Linked DNA regions of Saccharomyces cerevisiae S288C. The gene in region 2 interacts genetically with the main gene of each other region. Each region holds a gene or a part of one and is shown on either strand. Other genes may lie near its edges.

Evidence for each region.
Region 1: mutations in RPS30A (region 2) and YOR289W together harm fitness more than expected from each alone (negative genetic interaction), as found in Saccharomyces cerevisiae (2 studies listed by BioGRID).
Region 3: mutations in RPS30A (region 2) and TIF1 together harm fitness more than expected from each alone (negative genetic interaction), as found in Saccharomyces cerevisiae (2 studies listed by BioGRID).
Region 4: mutations in RPS30A (region 2) and TOM1 together harm fitness more than expected from each alone (negative genetic interaction), as found in Saccharomyces cerevisiae (3 studies listed by BioGRID).

The regions. Positions count from the first base shown.
Region 1 is NC_001147.6:851,022-855,351, reverse strand, and holds YOR289W (uncharacterized protein), read right to left. Parts: upstream 1,996-4,330; coding exon 1,240-1,995; downstream 1-1,239. Other genes in the region: SWI/SNF catalytic subunit SNF2, read left to right, coding at 1-205; protein disulfide isomerase MPD1, read left to right, coding at 2,275-3,231; rRNA-processing protein RRP36, read left to right, coding at 3,513-4,330.
Region 2 is NC_001144.5:711,342-715,512, forward strand, and holds RPS30A (40S ribosomal protein eS30 RPS30A), read right to left. Parts: upstream 1,818-4,171; coding exon 1,815-1,817; intron 1,385-1,814; coding exon 1,196-1,384; downstream 1-1,195. Other genes in the region: YLR287C (uncharacterized protein), read right to left, coding at 1-717; MEC3 (Mec3p), read right to left, coding at 2,139-3,563; GTPase GUF1, read left to right, coding at 3,748-4,171.
Region 3 is NC_001143.9:553,191-557,939, reverse strand, and holds TIF1 (translation initiation factor eIF4A), read right to left. Parts: upstream 2,954-4,749; coding exon 1,766-2,953; downstream 1-1,765. Other genes in the region: mannosyltransferase KTR2, read right to left, coding at 1-263; UTP30 (Utp30p), read right to left, coding at 598-1,422; glycogenin glucosyltransferase GLG1, read right to left, coding at 3,320-4,749.
Region 4 is NC_001136.10:1,367,642-1,373,617, forward strand, and holds the start of TOM1 (E3 ubiquitin-protein ligase TOM1), read left to right. Parts: upstream 1-2,148; coding exon 2,149-5,976. Other genes in the region: bifunctional K:H/Na:H antiporter NHX1, read left to right, coding at 1-1,745. UniProt on the Saccharomyces cerevisiae protein: Probable ubiquitin ligase protein involved in many cellular processes, such as transcription regulation, maintenance of nuclear structure, cell cycle, mRNA export and rRNA maturation.

The DNA.
Region 1 (4,330 bases), on a different chromosome or scaffold from region 2:
AGTATACGAAGACTCTTTAGAACTGGAAAAAGTGGTTACGAAGAAATACTGTGAGATAATGGGCGATAACTCACAACTCGACTTTACTGAATTTGATGAACAGTATGGCACCAGACCCCTCGTCTTGCCTCCTGTTGTTACTTCAAGCGTGGCTGAATCTTTCACAGATGAAGCGGACTCGAGCATGACAGAAGCGAGTGTATAGTACCTTCCTAAAGCAATATAAGTACTTATTCGTTTATACGTAGACAAACATTAATCCCTCTTTTTTTTATTGTACCCATTAACCGAGTTGGGATGTTTAATATCTCTAGTATAACGTGCCGTATATTTCCTATATATATATATATATATATTTATATATATTAGATTTTAAGTTAATTGTTCAACTAATTGATCGATTTCGCCTCTTATAATTCTGCTATACATATTTATTTTAAACCATCTCTTTGAACAAAGTAATATGTCGTCATCATAGTGAACTTGTTCTTGGACCTAATTATAAATTTTCCAATACGGAACAAATTATTTGTTCCAACACCCTGCTAGCAACACAGGGCAATATATATAAAGAAGATATATCTACTACTTCTTTTCCTTGAGTATATGTCTTTAATAGATATTTCATGTATTTGATTCATCTTTAATGGAAATACTCGGAGATTATATACAGGTCCGAGATGGCCTTAAAGATATTTCCCACAAATGTATTTACCACTCATTAGAAATGAGTTTCTGTTGTATTACGGGCTCGAGTAATACCGGAGTGTCTTGACAATCCTAATATAACAGTCTTAGGGAAGTAACCAGTTGTCAAAACAGTTTATCAGATTAATTCACGGAATGTTACTTATCTTATATATTATATAAAATATGAATCATACTAAGTGGTGGAAGCGCGGAATCTCGGATCTAAACTAATTGTTCAGGCATTTATACTTTTGGGTAGTTCAGCTAAGGAAGGACGGGTTTTGTCTCATGTTGTTCGCTTTGTTATAAGGTTGTTTCATATGTGTTTTATGAACGTTCAGGATGACGTATTGTCATACTGACATATCTCATTTTGAGATACAACAGTTTCAACAGTCATCAGGGCACATGGCGCAGTTGGTAGCGCGCTTCCCTTGCAAGGAAGAGGTCATCGGTTCGATTCCGGTTGCGTCCAATTTTTAAGCTTGATCAATGTATAAAAGCATATTTTTTTTAATGTTTCTAAGACTAACTAACGAGGGTTATTTTCTAAGCCTCTATATCTTTTAACTGTTTGTTAAATTCCTCATAAGTTATGGAACTTTTTTTGCCCTCGTACCTTATTACTTCAATGAAATAAGTTTCAAAATTATCCATTACTTCACTAATATTGCCCCAGTAACCCGCCTTCTCGATTAAATTGGCAAAGGTATCTTCTTTATTCCAATGTTGCTCAGGCATAACATCAGGTAAAAAGGTTGCGCTACATGTGGTGCCTGTTTTGGGATGCTTAAAATACAGTTCAATACCGTGCTTTCCGAGTTCCCAATCGAAAATGTCCCCATTTGGATTACCACCACCTCGAAAAATAGTTTTGAAGTTGCCTAAGATGTTGCAACTGCATTTCAGGTCCACCAATTCCCTTTTCTGGATCGGAGAAAATCTCCTATCCTCTAAAGCAGCAATCAAGGAATATTTCTCAATACCATGTGCAATCGGCATCTTAGCAAATGTACCGATACATCCTCTAAGTATATAATTCTCTTCGTTAGTGTCTATTGTGTGATGTTTATTGGACTTTTTCTTCCAAGTTATGAACAACGAAGTTTTCTCATTGTAATCTATTTTAAAGTCGGGGTATAGCCTTCTTCTAATATCTTCTAAAGAAAGGCTGCTCGATTTCCCCGGATTCAAGTGCGAATAAAGTTGATAAAATGCGTAAAACGCAAATGGCGATGAACCTTTAGGGCCTTCCATTGATATCTTTGCAAAAAAACTGGATTTTCGAAATAGCCTTAAAGCCATTACTATCGCACAAGCCAAAAACCATCTTTTCAAAGGATCTTATCTGGATACAAATTGACGCAAATTTCTCTTTATATTCCTCCTTTGTCGCCCAGTGTCATGTGCTTATCCCTTGAAAAAAGGGCCGTTGTTCGAGCCTTGCGAGGCGTATAAAAATTTGGTAAAAATTAAAATTGACACGTAAAAGTTAAATAACATGAAGAGAAATATCTTTTCGCAGTCATTTTCAACAGTAAGCATCCACTTAACACAATTAGGAGAGACAAAATTTGACATATAATGTTATTTCTTAATATTATTAAGCTCCTTTTGGGACTTTTTATTATGAATGAAGTAAAGGCGCAAAACTTTTACGATTCCGATCCTCATATATCAGAGTTAACGCCAAAAAGCTTCGATAAAGCGATCCATAACACAAATTACACATCATTAGTGGAATTTTATGCTCCGTGGTGCGGCCATTGTAAGAAGCTCTCTAGTACGTTCCGCAAGGCAGCAAAAAGATTGGATGGTGTAGTCCAAGTTGCTGCTGTAAACTGTGACCTTAACAAGAATAAGGCTTTGTGTGCTAAATACGACGTAAACGGATTTCCCACGTTAATGGTATTTAGGCCCCCAAAAATTGACCTATCTAAGCCAATAGATAACGCCAAAAAAAGTTTCAGCGCTCATGCCAATGAAGTGTACTCAGGTGCAAGAACTCTCGCGCCTATTGTTGATTTTTCTCTTTCAAGAATAAGGTCATATGTCAAAAAGTTTGTCCGTATAGATACACTTGGCTCTTTACTTAGAAAGTCACCCAAACTTTCCGTGGTGTTGTTTTCCAAACAAGACAAAATTTCACCGGTTTATAAAAGCATTGCCCTTGATTGGTTAGGAAAGTTCGATTTTTATTCAATTTCAAACAAAAAACTCAAGCAACTAACCGATATGAACCCAACATATGAAAAAACTCCTGAGATTTTCAAATATTTGCAGAAGGTCATTCCTGAACAGCGACAGAGCGATAAAAGTAAGCTTGTCGTTTTTGATGCAGACAAAGATAAATTTTGGGAGTATGAAGGGAACTCAATCAACAAAAATGACATTTCCAAATTTCTGCGGGACACTTTTAGTATTACCCCCAATGAGGGTCCTTTTAGTAGACGTTCTGAATATATTGCTTACTTAAAAACTGGCAAGAAGCCAATTAAAAAGAACCATTCCTCCTCAGGAAACAAGCACGACGAATTGTAGTGGTACGTTTCCTCATTCAATGATTATCTAATTAAACACAACATATGTATCTATATAGTCCACTAACTGATGGCATGGACGTTTACTTTTATTTGCAATAATAACTTTTATCTGAGCGGTTAAATACCGAAAGACACGTTTATTACCCGCTTTGAAAATTTTCAACCGATGAGCTTGCCTTTCTACCGGAAAACTGGGGCATAAGAATAAGTACTAAATAGTATAATTAAATTGCCATCCAAAAATTGTATAGAGGGTCAATAAGCACTAGAAGGTTAAAAATGTCGTATTACTTTAAAAATCTGAAGCCAGACTTGAACTCCGACGTAGAAGAAGATGACGGAAACTTATTGGAGAGCATAATGGCGAACAAAAGTAAGCGAGAAATTGACGAACAAGAATCAAGTGACGATGAGTTGAAAACCTTGTCTTTTGGTTCTTTGAAGAAGGCTGAAACGGTAATAGATGAAGAAGATTTCAAAGATACGAAACCCGTTCACAAAAAACCGATCACAACTACATACAGAGAAGAAAGTTTTGATGAAGATGAGGACAGTGAGGACCAATCAGACGAGGATGCTGGATTCTTTGAAGAAGATAGTGAGGATGAAACTCATCATGGTCAGAAAGTACCAAAAAAGAAGAGCAAACACGCTCCAGTAGAACAATCATCCAAGAAAAGGGTACCACGAGTCCGAAATATCCCTGGGCTGGAAATACCGAGGAATAAAAGGTCTAACCTCTATCAGGACATCAGATTTGATAAGTCCACCGGTAAAGCCCTTGATAGTTCTATCATAAGAAAACGTTACCAGTTCTTGGACGAATATAGAGAAAAAGAAATTGATGAACTGCAGAAGCTGTTACAAGAAAGAAAATTTCTATCAAAAATAGACCAGGGAGAACGTGAAGAAATGGAACAAAGACTGAAAAGTATGAAATCGAGATTGCAATCAATGAAAAACAAAGATCTCGAGCGTGAAATTCTCAAGGAATACGAAAATGATATGAATAAAAACAATAATACGAGATACCATTTGAAAAAGTCTGAGAAACGTAAAGTGGTGCAAAAGTGGAAATTTGATCACATGAAGGCCAA
Region 2 (4,171 bases):
TATATTTTCATAGACCTTTTCCTGGTCAAATTCCTCTTTCTGTGAATCAGATTCGGATTCTGAATCCTCAAAATCCAAAAATATATCGTCCGAGTTTGCTGAAAAATCGGGTTCCTCAAGCCACTCTTTTATTTCATTCATTGTATCGTCCATTATGGCCACATTATCTTTTAAGATGTTTGCTAGGATCCCATAAGGTCCAGCCTTGGAACAATTAGAGAGAGAATCGCACGCATTGAATATTTTACCAACTGAGGTTAACCTTTCTTTGTCTAGAGATGCATTTTCGTCATTTTTCAATCTTTCTTGTAATTCGGCAATGAAATCTCTCAAGCCATCGAGCAATTGTAGCGTACTTTCATCCAGTTGGTCTGTAAAGTATTTGGGGCAATCCTTGTTATTGTAAAACAAAGGGAATAAACTTAGTAAGTAGAATAATGGCCTACTAAAATTTTGGATTTCGGTAATCACAACTTTATGATTGTTATCAAAAGTTCCTGGCTTGCAAACAATACCTATTTTTGTGCAATGTGCCTTCAATACAGAGGCTAATTTGTCTAGTTCCTTAGTTGGGGTGGAACCTTGTAGTTTGGTAGTAGAGGAGATTTTACGCAAGTCTTCCGGCTTTTTGTATGGCACTAAAAACTGTTCATCTATAGAATTCAGCAGTTCCAATAATTTGACGTCATCCTTTCTATCACTGCTTCCAGTAGACATTATTGTATAACTGGTATTTCTCTTATAAAGTTTATAATAGGCGTCTCTGGTGATGCTTGTTGACCTCAATGGATTTTGTTAAAAGGAGGCTTCATGTCATCGTCAAGATCATTGCAGTTTTTTTCTAGTTTTTTTTTTTTCATTGCCACATTATGAAGCGCCCATTCAAAAACAACTAGAAAAACGTTTGCCAACCCTAGGTACGGCAAGATCCTCCTTATTAATAAAAGCATCACACCAAGACAGCAAAGAAGTAAATCGATAATATGAATAGCATAATTTTGCGAAGTTAAAGTCCTAAAGAAATAATTTATAGTTAACACTACTTACATAATTTCAATACTGCTTTATATTTAAAGTAAAAAACGCATAACGGAAATACAAATACAAGTCAAAAACTATCTTGAAGTAAAGATGGCATGACTGCTATTTTGTTTCTTGTTACTTTTAAGCTCCTTTTCCACAACTGTTAATTTTCTTATTGGACGGATGGACCTGGGTTCATTCTTCTCTTACCGTTAACCAAGGTAACGTTAACGAATCTTCTGGTGTACAATAATCTTTTGTAAGCACGACCCTTAGGCTTCTTTGGCTTTTCGGTTTTTTCAACCTTTGGTGTTTGAGACTTGACTTTACCAGCACGAGCTAGAGAACCATGAACTTTAGCCTAAATAAATAATATTAATATTAAAAATTAATGACCATGTTAGTATAGTGAATTTTTGAATTATTTGGCGTATCAGCAAGGATGCTAAAAATAAACTTCACTCTGCTATTTTCTCAAAGCCTTTTTAACTCTCCGTCAAAAAATGTTGTTATTAAACTCGACATTATGTTAAGTCCACGCTGTTGCCCTCGAAAAATCTGTGTCAAGCAATTACGTTTTTGATGTAACAGAACTCAAATTTAAAAAGTTTCCTATCATATTCTCAGGGTGGAGCCAGTTTAAAGATATATTGCGTTTTATTTCTTTTTCTGCGGTATATATAGATATGAAACACCAGTAATATATTCAAATTAGCTATTTCTTGTTATTCATTCCTCGCTGAAACGTCCATTTTTTTCATATTTTAAAATCCTAATGAGGCATTACGTACCATATTTGCGTAGTTTTTGTATGGGGATATGGAAGATTATTACAGTGGCAAATTTAATGTGCAGTTCATGTAGCCTTTAAAATGCAACATACCGTTCGTAAGGCTGTTTTGTTCTATCTATTTTTTCTGAGGTTTCCGACAACCTCACGACATTTTTTTTTTTCGAACGGAAAAAAGAAAAGCAGTTAGTATGTAAAGCACGGATTTTTTTATACATATGTACGGATGTGATAGTCTGCAACTCTGCAACTCTGCAGTTCTCAGCCATGTCAGATTTAAAGAGTTTCCTTAGCAACGTAGCAAAGAAATGTACCGCTGTAGGGTTTACAAGCCCTTCGATCTTGCTATATAATATATGATTTGTCCTCTTTCCCTTGGTTTTTCCACATCTTCGCTATCTTCCAAGCTACCACGATCCAACGAACAGTGGAATACGCAGGATTCGTCGTGAGAAATCGCCAAAACAACTTCTTCAAATGCAGCGTATAACTTGGAACACACCTTCCAATCTTTGCAACGGATGATTACTTCATGTGTGGACGAACTTTCCTGTTCAGCCTTTTCCACCATAACGGATATGTCATTAAATTCAGTATCACCGCTAGTATCAGCTGTGTAAATGTTTCCCCGCGTATCTGCGATCGAGCTATCCTCAATTCTTAATAAATCTTCATCGTAGCGGATATTTTCTTCCATCTCTCGATCTCTAGTATTGGTATATAGTGAAGACATCGGTTTATCCGCTTCGATAATCGGAAGAGATCCTTCCTCCTGCCGGCCGTCTGTGTCGATGTGCTGGTTTTGGGAAGGATTGTCAGTGAGCCCTTCTTGGCGTTGTATCACAGAGTCTAAGGGTCCATTCCAGCATATTTCCAAATGCCAATCTAATTCATTCACAATTATCTTAAGTTCTACATCATCACCTTCATTTCCATGCTCCTTTTTTTTGACTCCCATTAAATGAATGTGGTTGACATTACTGTACCGTTCAACACGTCTAATAAACCCGTGGAAGGCGGAGCCAAACTCGCCCGATATTGGTGGCAGCTTGTACATCATCAGTTGAATATAGTTAATCATTGGCTCTTGTATTCGCGTATCTTGTGCTCGGAATAATAGTTTGACAGGTACTTTGAACGAATGCATGATAACCTTATTGCTTGCGAGTAGATTTCCTGTGCCTACTGTGGTTGGTAAACCATTGTGCTCATCCACTCCCCCATTCATAACTATAGCGTCATTTGGGCCGCTAGTATGTACAATTTCTTCGAATGTTATACCTAGAGCACAAATGGGGTTCGGTTTTGAGGTTGTATCTACGCCTCCTGCTGTTCCTCCTGAAAGTGTTCCGTTATTTGTATTCCATTCTGGCATTGACTGTAGTTTTATAGTCATATTAGAGGAAGATCCTTGGTTCATTACTCGATCATACCTTTTAAACACACTCAATAAAGAATCACAATTACACTCCATTGTTATTGTATTGAGCTCGCGAGCTGATATAACTGTATATAATCTGAATACATCATGAGGAATGGTACACCAAAGCTGACCAGTATCCCCTCGTAATATTGTACCGTTGTTACTGCTGTTGAGTGATGATTTTGGAGTGGATATTATTGTCAATCTTTCACTATTAAATCTTAAGATAGCCGTCTTTCGTAGCGAAGCAACTGTATTGATAGTAGTTCTTAGCAATTTATAATCATCAGGTGCTTCACAACCATTTACTATCAATTTTAATTTCATTTAACTGAATTAAGACACACCTTTTGTCTTCTTTTTTCTCTCATCATCTCCGTATGTTTATGTTGCTATTTTGATGTAAATAAAAAAGTTGAATAATAGACGAGGGCAAGTATAACTCGCCTATATTTGTAGCCGCAACCATTGAAAAAGAGCCATGAATATGGGAAACTAGTTGCACATAAAAATGCTGAAATTTAGAATTAGGCCAGTGAGACATATACGGTGTTATAAACGACACGCATATTTCTTACGATATAACCATACGACTACCCCTGCACAGAAGTTACAAGCACAGATCGAGCAAATACCTCTCGAAAATTACAGAAATTTCTCTATAGTTGCCCATGTTGACCATGGGAAGTCAACCTTAAGTGACAGACTGCTGGAAATAACGCATGTCATCGATCCCAATGCGAGAAATAAACAAGTTTTGGATAAATTGGAAGTCGAAAGAGAAAGAGGTATTACTATAAAGGCGCAAACATGTTCGATGTTTTATAAAGATAAGAGGACCGGAAAAAACTATCTTTTACATTTAATTGACACGCCAGGACATGTGGACTTCAGAGGTGAAGTTTCACGGTCATATGCGTCTTGTGGGGGAGCAA
Region 3 (4,749 bases), on a different chromosome or scaffold from region 2:
TTTTTTATTCCCTTGGTCTTGTTTAGTGGTTCATCATTATAAGTGTTGCTAGATAGCTTCAGCGTCTGATTCATATGTCGCCTCCTTGTAAAATCATATCTCGATGAAACTTCTCGAGATCTTCTAAAAAAATACGAATCTAGGCTCAGCTGTCTCTGATATGGTACAAGTGCAAGCCAACATGTTTGAGCTATCAAGCAAAATAGAAGACTAACAAAAAGTAGTTTTTTAACCTGTGTAAGAAATACCTTGCAGATTTGCATGAAGCTCCTACGCTTTTAAATAAACAACTATTGTATAGAAAAAACGCAAAAAAAGCGTTGCATGTATAGGTGTCACATACCTGAAGAGATATAAAGAATCAAGAATATCATCAGACAGGCAAATGGTGGCTTATTATGTTTATTCTATTTTTATAGGGTGTCTGTTCTTTTTTTTTTCTTTTTTTTTTTCGCTTACTAAATTTCTATAATCTTGCAAATTCTTGAAAGGAATTAAAGTTTAAAACACTTTATTAATGCTATAATTAGTTAGACAAAATCACGCTTTTTCATTGGGAGTGTTTAAATACCGTATTTAAAAGATGATGCTTTAATTTTACAATTTAATATCACTCAGATCTTCATTTTTCTGATTTTCTCTAGCCTCTGAAAACTGATATATAGGCAAACTAGTACTGTTACTGGTCTTGACAAATATAGATATTATTCCTCCTTTAATGACGCCGCCTTGCGGTCTCTTACTTTTATCAGTGAGAAAGTTTATTGTATCTTGGATGTTTTGCAAAATTTCTGGTATGGAGTGTTTTTGAATATAACCGACCCTGACGCTTAAGCAGTTGTCATTATTGGGAATGTATGAGGTATTCTTACATATACTTCTCAATTGTGCTCTCACGTAAATGGGGTCACATTTTTCGACCATTTGTTGACGCTTCAATTTTACTTCTTTCGACATGCGGATCATGTATGGCAATTTTTTACTACCGTGATAAAATCTGCTACCAAGAACCTCCGGAAGTAAGTGGTGAACTCTGTAATCGGCAACGACCAAGTCAAAATCTTTATAAAGTTGGGTCAGTTTACTCCCTTTGAATCTACGTCTCAAGTTCTTGACACTTATAATTTCCTTGAATAATTCCGACGTATGCTCGTCTTTCGTCAAAGTTTCTCTATACAAGGCAGAGGGATCCTTGGTAATGAGTAATATGTTTAGGTCCCTTGGTTTAAATAGCTTGTACTTTGTTAATGGAATAATACGGGGGATGTTGTCCCTGTTTATGCCCATTTTTTTGCCCGTGTTGATGATTATGTGTATGTCCTTATCATTTTTTAAAGATGGGTTCTCTTCACATTGTAAAATTAGAGCCTTTAGTGCTTTCTCTGCCAGCCCACTTTTTATAATATCATTTGACTCAACCATCCCAAACCTCGAGATATAGCGTTTGATGTACACTTTTTCTTTTCAGCTCCAATCTCTATTAGTAGGGCATCGATTTTTTTTTTTTTCCTTTTATATATATTATTTTTTATAAATTTGAAAAATTTCAGATAGATACGTTCGGATATATACAAAAAGACAAAGCAAACAATTAGTATAGGGTATTTCAACCTTCGTGCCGAGAGTCTTTTGGACTTTGAAGAATAATAGGAATGTAAAAAGAAAAACAAATTAAATACAAAAAGCATATATAACTTTTTAGAAATATATGTTACGTTATCAAGATAGCCTCACAAGATACTTTTTTAAGAAGTTTTTGTCTCCCTTAGTTCAACAAAGTAGCGATGTCGGATGGCAATTCTTCAATTTGAGTGGAGTAGAACTTTTCTAGTTCTCTCATAGCGCCAACGTCTTCGTTAGTAACAAAGTTGATGGCAACACCCTTTCTACCGAAACGACCACCTCTACCGATTCTGTGAATATAGTTTTCTTTGTTAGCTGGTAAGTCGTAGTTAATAACCAAAGAAACTTGTTGGACATCGATACCTCTAGCCAACAAATCAGTGGAGATCAAAATTCTGGAAGAACCACTTCTGAATTCCTTCATGATGGTGTCTCTTTCTTGTTGTGGTAAATCAGAGTAGATGGCAGAAACGGTAAATTTGTCGTTTCTTAACTTAGTGGTCAATTCTTCGACCTTTCTTCTGGTGTTACAGAAGATGACAGCTTGAGTAACGGAGATAGAGTCGTATAAATCGGTCAAACACTCGTATTTGTATTCTTCTTCTTCAACATTAACGTAGAATTGTTTGATACCTTCCAAAGTCAATTCATCCTTCTTAACCAAAATTCTAACTGGGTTTCTCATAAATTTGGTGGTAACTTCCAAGACGTCATTTGGCATGGTGGCGGACAATAGAACAACTTGAGTGGTTGGTGGAAGTAAGGTGAAAATTTGGTAGATTTGTTCCTTGAAACCAGAAGACAACATTTCATCAGCTTCATCTAAGATGAACATCTTGATCTTGTCAGTTCTGAATCTACGTCTTTGGATGTTGTCAAAAACACGACCTGGAGTACCAACGACGATTTGAGCATCTCTCAAACCTTCAGCGTCTTCAACAAAGGAAGTACCACCGATACAAGCGTGGACCTTGATGTCCATGTGGAAAGCCAAAGCCATGACAACCTTTTGGATTTGCAAAGCCAATTCTCTAGTTGGAGCCAACATCAAAGCTTGAGGAGCCTTGACAGAGGTGTCAATTCTTTGCAAAGCAGCAATGGAAAAGGTACCGGTCTTACCAGTACCAGATTGAGCTTGAGCCAAGACATCGTGACCTTCAATAATAGGCATGATGGCACGTTGTTGAATGGCAGATGGTTCTTCGAAACCGTAACCGAAAACACCTCTTAACAAGTTTTCGTCCAATTCCATATCATCGAACTTGTAGACAACCTTGTCATAGTTGGTTTGAATTTGGGATTCTTCAATATCAGTAATACCTTCAGACATCTTGTATATAATTAGAAGGAGGCCGTTTAACGAATTTGTTATAAAATAAGAAAAGAAAAGACTAGAGACCAAATAAAAAATCTACAAATGTCAGGGCTGCGTATATTCATACCTTTGTTCTGTGATGTTAGCTCAAGTTCTTAGCACATCATTCAATAGACGAGGTGAGAATGCAAAAATTTTTCAGTCACTATAAACGTTGTGAGGTGAGAAAAGATAAACAGCAAGCATCGGATGTTGTTGCTGATAAACCTTTAAAGTAAATTTCGAGTTTGAATGTATATAGAATAGTTATGCATTTTTGTATAGTCGAAAAGGTCTTTACATAGATATGTCTTTTAATTTTCCTAATATGTGCGTGGAAGTTTACTCTACTGCATACTCAAAAATATCATCAGGGAAACACCTCTCTACTTTGGATAGATAATCAGAGTCCTCCCAGTCAAATTTGAAGTTGGGCATTTCTTGTTGCGGTTGGTTGGTTTCCTCTGCTGTAAGTTTCATATCCTCCTGTTTATCTGCAACTGCACTCGTCTTCGTTTCTCCTTCGGTAGCATCTCTTGCATCGTCATCAAAAAATTCTTCTTCGTTATCGATTGCATTTGACTCGTACACGTCCGGAAGAAATTCTTCATAACCTTCCTTGTCTTTTTCTAAGTACTGTATATTGTCATCAACAGAGGTATGTGGTTCTACGTCGTCTGGTAAGTCATTAGTAGAAACACTTGGTTTTTGTATATTGTCAGTTGACCTTTTCTGTTCTGGATTTGAAGGGCTAGATTCGACACTGATATTATTTTCTTTAGAATTGCTAAAATTTTTGCCATCTGGTTGATTACTTACATTGTTATTGGAAGAAGCGGCCGTGCTTATATCATCGAGGTGGCTTTCTTCTCCAGAATTTGAAGCGTTATCTGTCGTACTATCCTCCTCTTCTGCATTTTGGTGCTCATCGCTATCAGCTTGAGTACTCACAACGCTATAAGAGCTGTTTAGTTCCTGAGTACTATTTGGAGGACTTTCTTGGTCGCGGTTTGAACTGCTATTGATTATATTGTTATCATTCTCTTTCGAATATTCTCTGCTTTCATTTACTGGCTGATTAGTCAAGTGATCTTTGTTAATAAAGGTTGTTAACCACTTGGTAAAATCCAATGGGACAGGGTTAGGAGCAGGGCTATGATCCGAGTTAGGAACAGGCTCGGCGTTCTGGTTGTCCACGTTTTCTTCCACTGTACTAATTGTGTCGATCTCTTGATTCGTAGTGGGTTCGTTCGATGGAGGGGCATCCACTGGGGTTATCGTTTCAGGAGTCTCAGTTTTATCGGAATCACTAATCTTTGGCTTCGAAACTTCGTTATTTAATTGATGTTCTTCCTTAAATTCCTCGTATACCTCATTCCATTGATCATGATACTCGTTTTTAATGAAATTCTTTTGGGACCACAATGACCATGGCTTGTGTTTCCCAATGAAATGAATCAACTTAATGCTAGGTTTAAAGTAATTCATAGCAGGTGAAGATTGGTAGCCTAAATTAGGAATAGTTACGTTATACGTAAATGATAACTGTACCCATTCTCGAGAGAAACTGTCTTTAACTAGCTCATCAGTGCAACAATTTTGATTGAAGAACTGGTTTAAAATGCCCTGGTCAGAACCATCAATTGAAGTGTTTTCAAAAATATAATTTTGTAAAACGGATGCAGTATCAGCATCCGGTATTAGCATCATGACACCGCTATTGAACATATCAGGCCAGCCGATATCAGCAATAGCACCCACTTGTGACGTGG
Region 4 (5,976 bases), on a different chromosome or scaffold from region 2:
CTGTTACAGAAGAAATGTTCTCTTCATGGGCATTGTTCATTATGTTGCTCCTATTGATCTCTGCATTGTGGTCTAGTTACTATTTAACTCAGAAACGAATTAGGGCAGTGCATGAAACTGTGCTTTCTATTTTTTATGGTATGGTTATTGGCTTGATAATAAGGATGTCCCCCGGGCATTATATTCAAGATACGGTTACTTTTAATTCATCCTACTTTTTTAATGTTCTATTGCCGCCAATTATTTTAAATAGTGGGTACGAGTTGAATCAAGTGAACTTTTTCAATAATATGTTATCTATCTTAATTTTCGCCATACCGGGCACCTTCATATCTGCTGTGGTTATTGGAATCATATTGTATATCTGGACCTTTTTAGGACTAGAGAGTATTGACATTTCATTCGCAGATGCAATGTCTGTTGGTGCTACATTATCTGCTACCGACCCTGTTACAATTCTTTCAATTTTCAATGCGTATAAAGTGGATCCTAAGCTATATACCATCATTTTTGGAGAATCACTGTTAAATGATGCCATCTCTATTGTTATGTTTGAAACCTGTCAAAAATTTCATGGTCAACCTGCAACATTTTCGTCGGTTTTTGAAGGGGCAGGCCTCTTTTTGATGACTTTCTCCGTTTCGTTGTTGATAGGCGTTCTTATAGGAATTCTTGTTGCTCTTCTGTTGAAACACACTCACATAAGGCGCTATCCTCAAATTGAGAGTTGTTTGATCTTGTTGATTGCTTATGAATCCTATTTTTTCTCCAACGGTTGCCATATGTCCGGTATCGTCTCCTTGTTATTTTGCGGAATTACTTTAAAACATTACGCCTATTATAACATGTCAAGAAGATCACAGATCACCATTAAGTATATTTTCCAACTATTGGCAAGATTATCAGAGAATTTCATCTTTATCTATCTAGGTTTAGAACTTTTTACTGAAGTAGAACTAGTCTATAAGCCACTGCTAATTATTGTGGCAGCTATTTCTATATGTGTTGCTCGTTGGTGTGCTGTGTTCCCATTGTCGCAATTTGTTAACTGGATATATAGAGTAAAGACAATCAGATCTATGAGCGGCATAACCGGAGAAAATATTTCTGTTCCCGATGAAATACCCTACAATTACCAAATGATGACATTTTGGGCAGGTTTACGTGGTGCTGTTGGTGTCGCCTTGGCGTTGGGAATTCAAGGTGAGTATAAGTTCACTTTATTGGCAACGGTCCTTGTTGTTGTTGTTTTAACAGTTATCATTTTTGGGGGCACTACTGCAGGAATGTTAGAAGTTTTAAATATTAAGACTGGTTGCATAAGTGAAGAAGATACATCTGATGACGAGTTTGATATAGAGGCTCCAAGGGCGATAAATTTATTGAACGGTAGTTCTATTCAGACAGATTTGGGCCCATATTCTGACAACAATTCTCCAGATATTTCAATTGACCAATTCGCGGTCAGCAGTAACAAGAATCTCCCCAATAACATATCCACAACTGGTGGTAATACTTTTGGAGGCCTTAATGAAACTGAGAATACTAGCCCTAACCCGGCAAGGTCTTCTATGGATAAGCGTAATTTGAGAGATAAACTGGGAACAATCTTTAATTCCGACTCACAATGGTTTCAAAATTTTGATGAACAGGTATTGAAGCCAGTATTCTTGGACAACGTTTCTCCATCCTTACAAGATTCGGCTACGCAATCACCTGCAGATTTCTCTTCCCAAAACCACTAGACTTTAAAGTGTATGGTTTCCTTGTTTCTAATATAAATATATTAATTAAGTCTTTATACATTCTCTCTTACTCAACGCCGAAGGAATACCCTTCTACACTTTATTCATTTTAAATCATGTACTGTTATATACACGCTAGTAGGATTGATCTTATTTAATCATATTTCGCACGTTACCCGACTGCTTTCAGTTTTGCCGCTTTGTGATAATGAGGAATTTCAGCTAGCTTTTAATGAGCCGATACTAAATCACCATGATTTTGGGAGAGGAAAAGAAGAAAAGGTAAAACAACGAATATTTTTCAAATACCTTAGTTACTGAATATCCATAACTACTCGTATAATTGGTGAGAAAATAGTGCATATTTAGTTTACTTTTTGCCTTTGATTGAAAATATATATTCATGGTGCTTTTTACTCGGTGTGAAAAGGCAAGAAAGGAGAAACTCGCCGCTGGTTATAAGCCCTTAGTTGATTATTTGATTGATTGTGATACTCCCACATTTTTAGAAAGAATTGAGGCAATCCAAGAGTGGGACCGATCCAGAGATGATCTTTATGTTTGGATTCCCATTCTAGACAGAATGGACGGGCTGTTGTTAAAAGTGGCAGAGAAATATAAATACAAGCAAGACCCCAAGAAGGAGTGTGAAGTCAAATTGGTGGAAATGGAAGCGCATGATGTTGATTATTGTTTGAAAATGCTAAAGTTTACTCGTCGACTACTTCTAAATACAGAAAACAGGTTTGTTTATTCATCTGGAGATGTTTTAATGTATCTACTGAATTGTCCGAATTTTACAATAAAACTAGCGGTCATGCGAATTTTAGCCATTTTAGGGGAAAGGTTTGTGATTGCGAGAGAAAAAATAGTTGCACATAACATATTTGGAGATCACAACCTCAGGAAAAAAACTCTCAAACTAGCTTTATCTCTGTCATCTTCCGTCATGGATGAAGACGGAGAGCACTTTTCTCTTGTCGATCTATATTTTGATAAGAAAAAAGTGCCTCAAAAATGGAGAAAGTTGAGATTTACACATTATACTTCAAACGACTTTAAAAAGTCAAGCCAGCAAAAAAATAACATTAATGAAACCCAAACTTCCATTAAGAAGGTAACTATGACGACCCAAGAACTGTGTGAACACTCACTACAGCAAATATTTGATAAGGGTATGGCCCTTTTACCCGCAGAAAGTTGGTTTGATTTCTCAATAAAAGCTTCGGTGGCGAAGGCCTTCAGTGATGATTCAGGTGAAAATATAGATTTGAGAAATATAATTATTGAAACAAAACTGAATGCTATTGCATTTGTTAACACCATTTTCTCGCCTCCTCAAGTAAGCTCGAAGTTATTTGAATTAGATCCGTATGCTTTTAATAGTCTAACTGATTTGATATCGTTGTCTGAAACCAAAATACCAAAAGAGCTAAGAACGGATGCTTTATTCACATTGGAATGTATATCCTTGAAGCATGTCTGGTGCTCAGACATTATCAGAAATCTCGGTGGTAACATATCGCATGGTCTGTTGTTTCAGATTCTCCGTTACATTGCCAAGACATTGAGAGAAGCGACAGACGAAATCGATGAAGAATATAATGTGAGGTTCTTTTACTTGATATCAAATTTAGCTGACGTTAAGCCTTTGCATGAATCTCTTTTCGCCGCGGGTTTAATACCTACTTTATTGGAAATTGTATCTATAAGAAATTGCCCATATAAGCGTACCCTCGCATCTGCTACCCATCTCCTAGAAACATTTATAGATAACAGTGAAACTACCACTGAATTTATCGAAAATGATGGGTTTACTATGCTGATCACTTCAGTCGCCAATGAGATTGATTTCACGCTTGCACATCCAGAGACGTGGCAACCGCCAAAATATTCAGTGGTTTATTATTCAATTTCTTTTAGGGAGTTGGCATATATTAGAAGTTTATTGAAACTCGTTCTCAAATTATTAAGCACAGACTCAGGGGATAGAATTAGAAATTTAATAGATTCGCCGATACTTGTTTCATTAAAGAAAATCCTAGAAAATAAACTTGTATTCGGTTTAACATTAATAACTTACACTCTGGATGTAGTTCAGAAAGTAATAAATAGTGAGCCTACTATTTATCCTGTTCTGGTTGAAGCAGGACTTATTCCATATGTTATCGATAATTTTCCAAAGTTAATTGGGCCTTCCGCCGAATTATTAAGTTTACTTCCAGATGTCGTTTCTGCCATATGCTTGAATCCAGAAGGGCTGAAGCAAGTTAAAGAAAAGGGTCTCATAAACAATTTGTTTGATTTCTTACTCGATGCTGACCACGCGCGTATATTAACAGGTGGAGATCGTTCTACGGAATATGGTACTGACATTGATGAATTAGCAAGACATTATCCAGACTTAAAGGCAAATATCGTGGAGGCTTTGTGTAACGTCATCAGAAAAATGCCAAGTACCTTTAGAAATGAAAGAGAGTTTCTTTTTACTTCACCAAAAGATCAAAAGTACTTTTTTCACAGAAAAAATGAGGAAATATTGACAGATAAAGAGGAACATGAACCTGCATACTGGGAGCTATTAGATAAGGGAACTATGCTGGACACATTTACCAGTGTTTTGTTTGGTATGTCTTTAGGAAATGGTTCTTTTTCACAGGTGCCACAACATCTGGAAGCGAGAGATTTTCTGGCAATAATATTTATGGAAAATCCTCCTTATGAATACTTTACCTCCGTGGCAATCTCAAATGTTACTGAGGTCCTCCAGTATCTGGATGAAAAATACGAAGACTACGCATTCATGGATGTTATGAAAGTATTGAACGATCAATTGGAGAACCTGAATGATTTTTTGAATAGTCCAAATGATAGAAGTTTCTTTTTAGAAAGAGATGGGGAAAACTCGGTGCGTTCATGCCATTCAAAACTTTGTCGACTTGCCGCTATTTTGAACATTGTTACGAATGTATACATTGACCTCACTACCTTATCTTGTAAGAGAATCATGCAGATCTATTCTTATTTTGACAAAAGAGGATTTTCTTTAATTAAAAACTTAAAGTTGCTATTCCAGAAATGTGCGTTGGAGGAAATGTACATACGCCAACATATGCCAGATTCTGTTATTACAGAAACAATGCCGTTGCCTATAGTGGATGTTTCCGGAGATGGACCACCACTTCAAATTTATATCGATGACCCAAAAAAGGGTGATCAAAAGGGGAAAATTACCAGCGTAAAAACGAGAAATACTCTTCAAATGCGAACAATACTGTATACATTACAATCAAATACTGCAATTCTATTTCGCTGCTTTTTAAGGTTAAGCCACTCTAGGAATATGGATCTAGAGCATAAAGATTTGACGACAGAAGTTCATATATTTGAGAACGTTGTTGAAAATGTTATTGAAATGTTGAAGGCCACCGAACTCGAAGGTCATCTACCGTATATTCTCGTTTTATTAAACTTCAACACCTTTGTGTTTACTATTCCAAAGGCTTCCCCTAATTCCACTGAAATATTACAAACAATACCGGCTTATATTTTCTATCAAAAGGGGGGCTATTTACTTTATTTGCACATTATAAGGGATCTCTTTACGAGAATGACAAAAATAAAAGATTTATCCTCACTTGATAACATAAACTACATAGATGAGTCCAACGGTATCCTAACCTTAAGCTGTTTAATTAATGCTCTCACCTTTTACAACAAATCAATGCAAACTGAAACCATGGAGAATGTCCAAAGTATTGGTAAGTATTACGTTTCAATAGATGACGATTATAATATTATGAAAGCTTTAACAGTTCCTATTAAGGTAATGGCTCTCGCAATGATTTTAGATTTGGATAAATCGGATAGCCTCTTCAAGACACAGTCCCGTAATGTGCCTTACTCAGTTTTCAAGCAACTTCTTAGTATGCTCAAAAATATATTCACTAATGTGAACATCTATACCAAGGAATTATATGAATTGCATTGGGACCTAATATTCCCACCAATTAAAAAAATTAGCTTGTTTGAGCAAGTCGGCATTCCCGGTGATGTTGCGGCAAACTATTTAACAGATACTGGTGATGATCTTCCTGCAGATAACAGTATTGGCCTGTTTTCGCCTGAACAATGGGAAAAATATAAAAAATTAATCGGTGAAGATAAATCCATCTACTATCCACAACCAATGCAAGCTCAGTATTACAAAGGATGTTCCTCAAAAGAATTA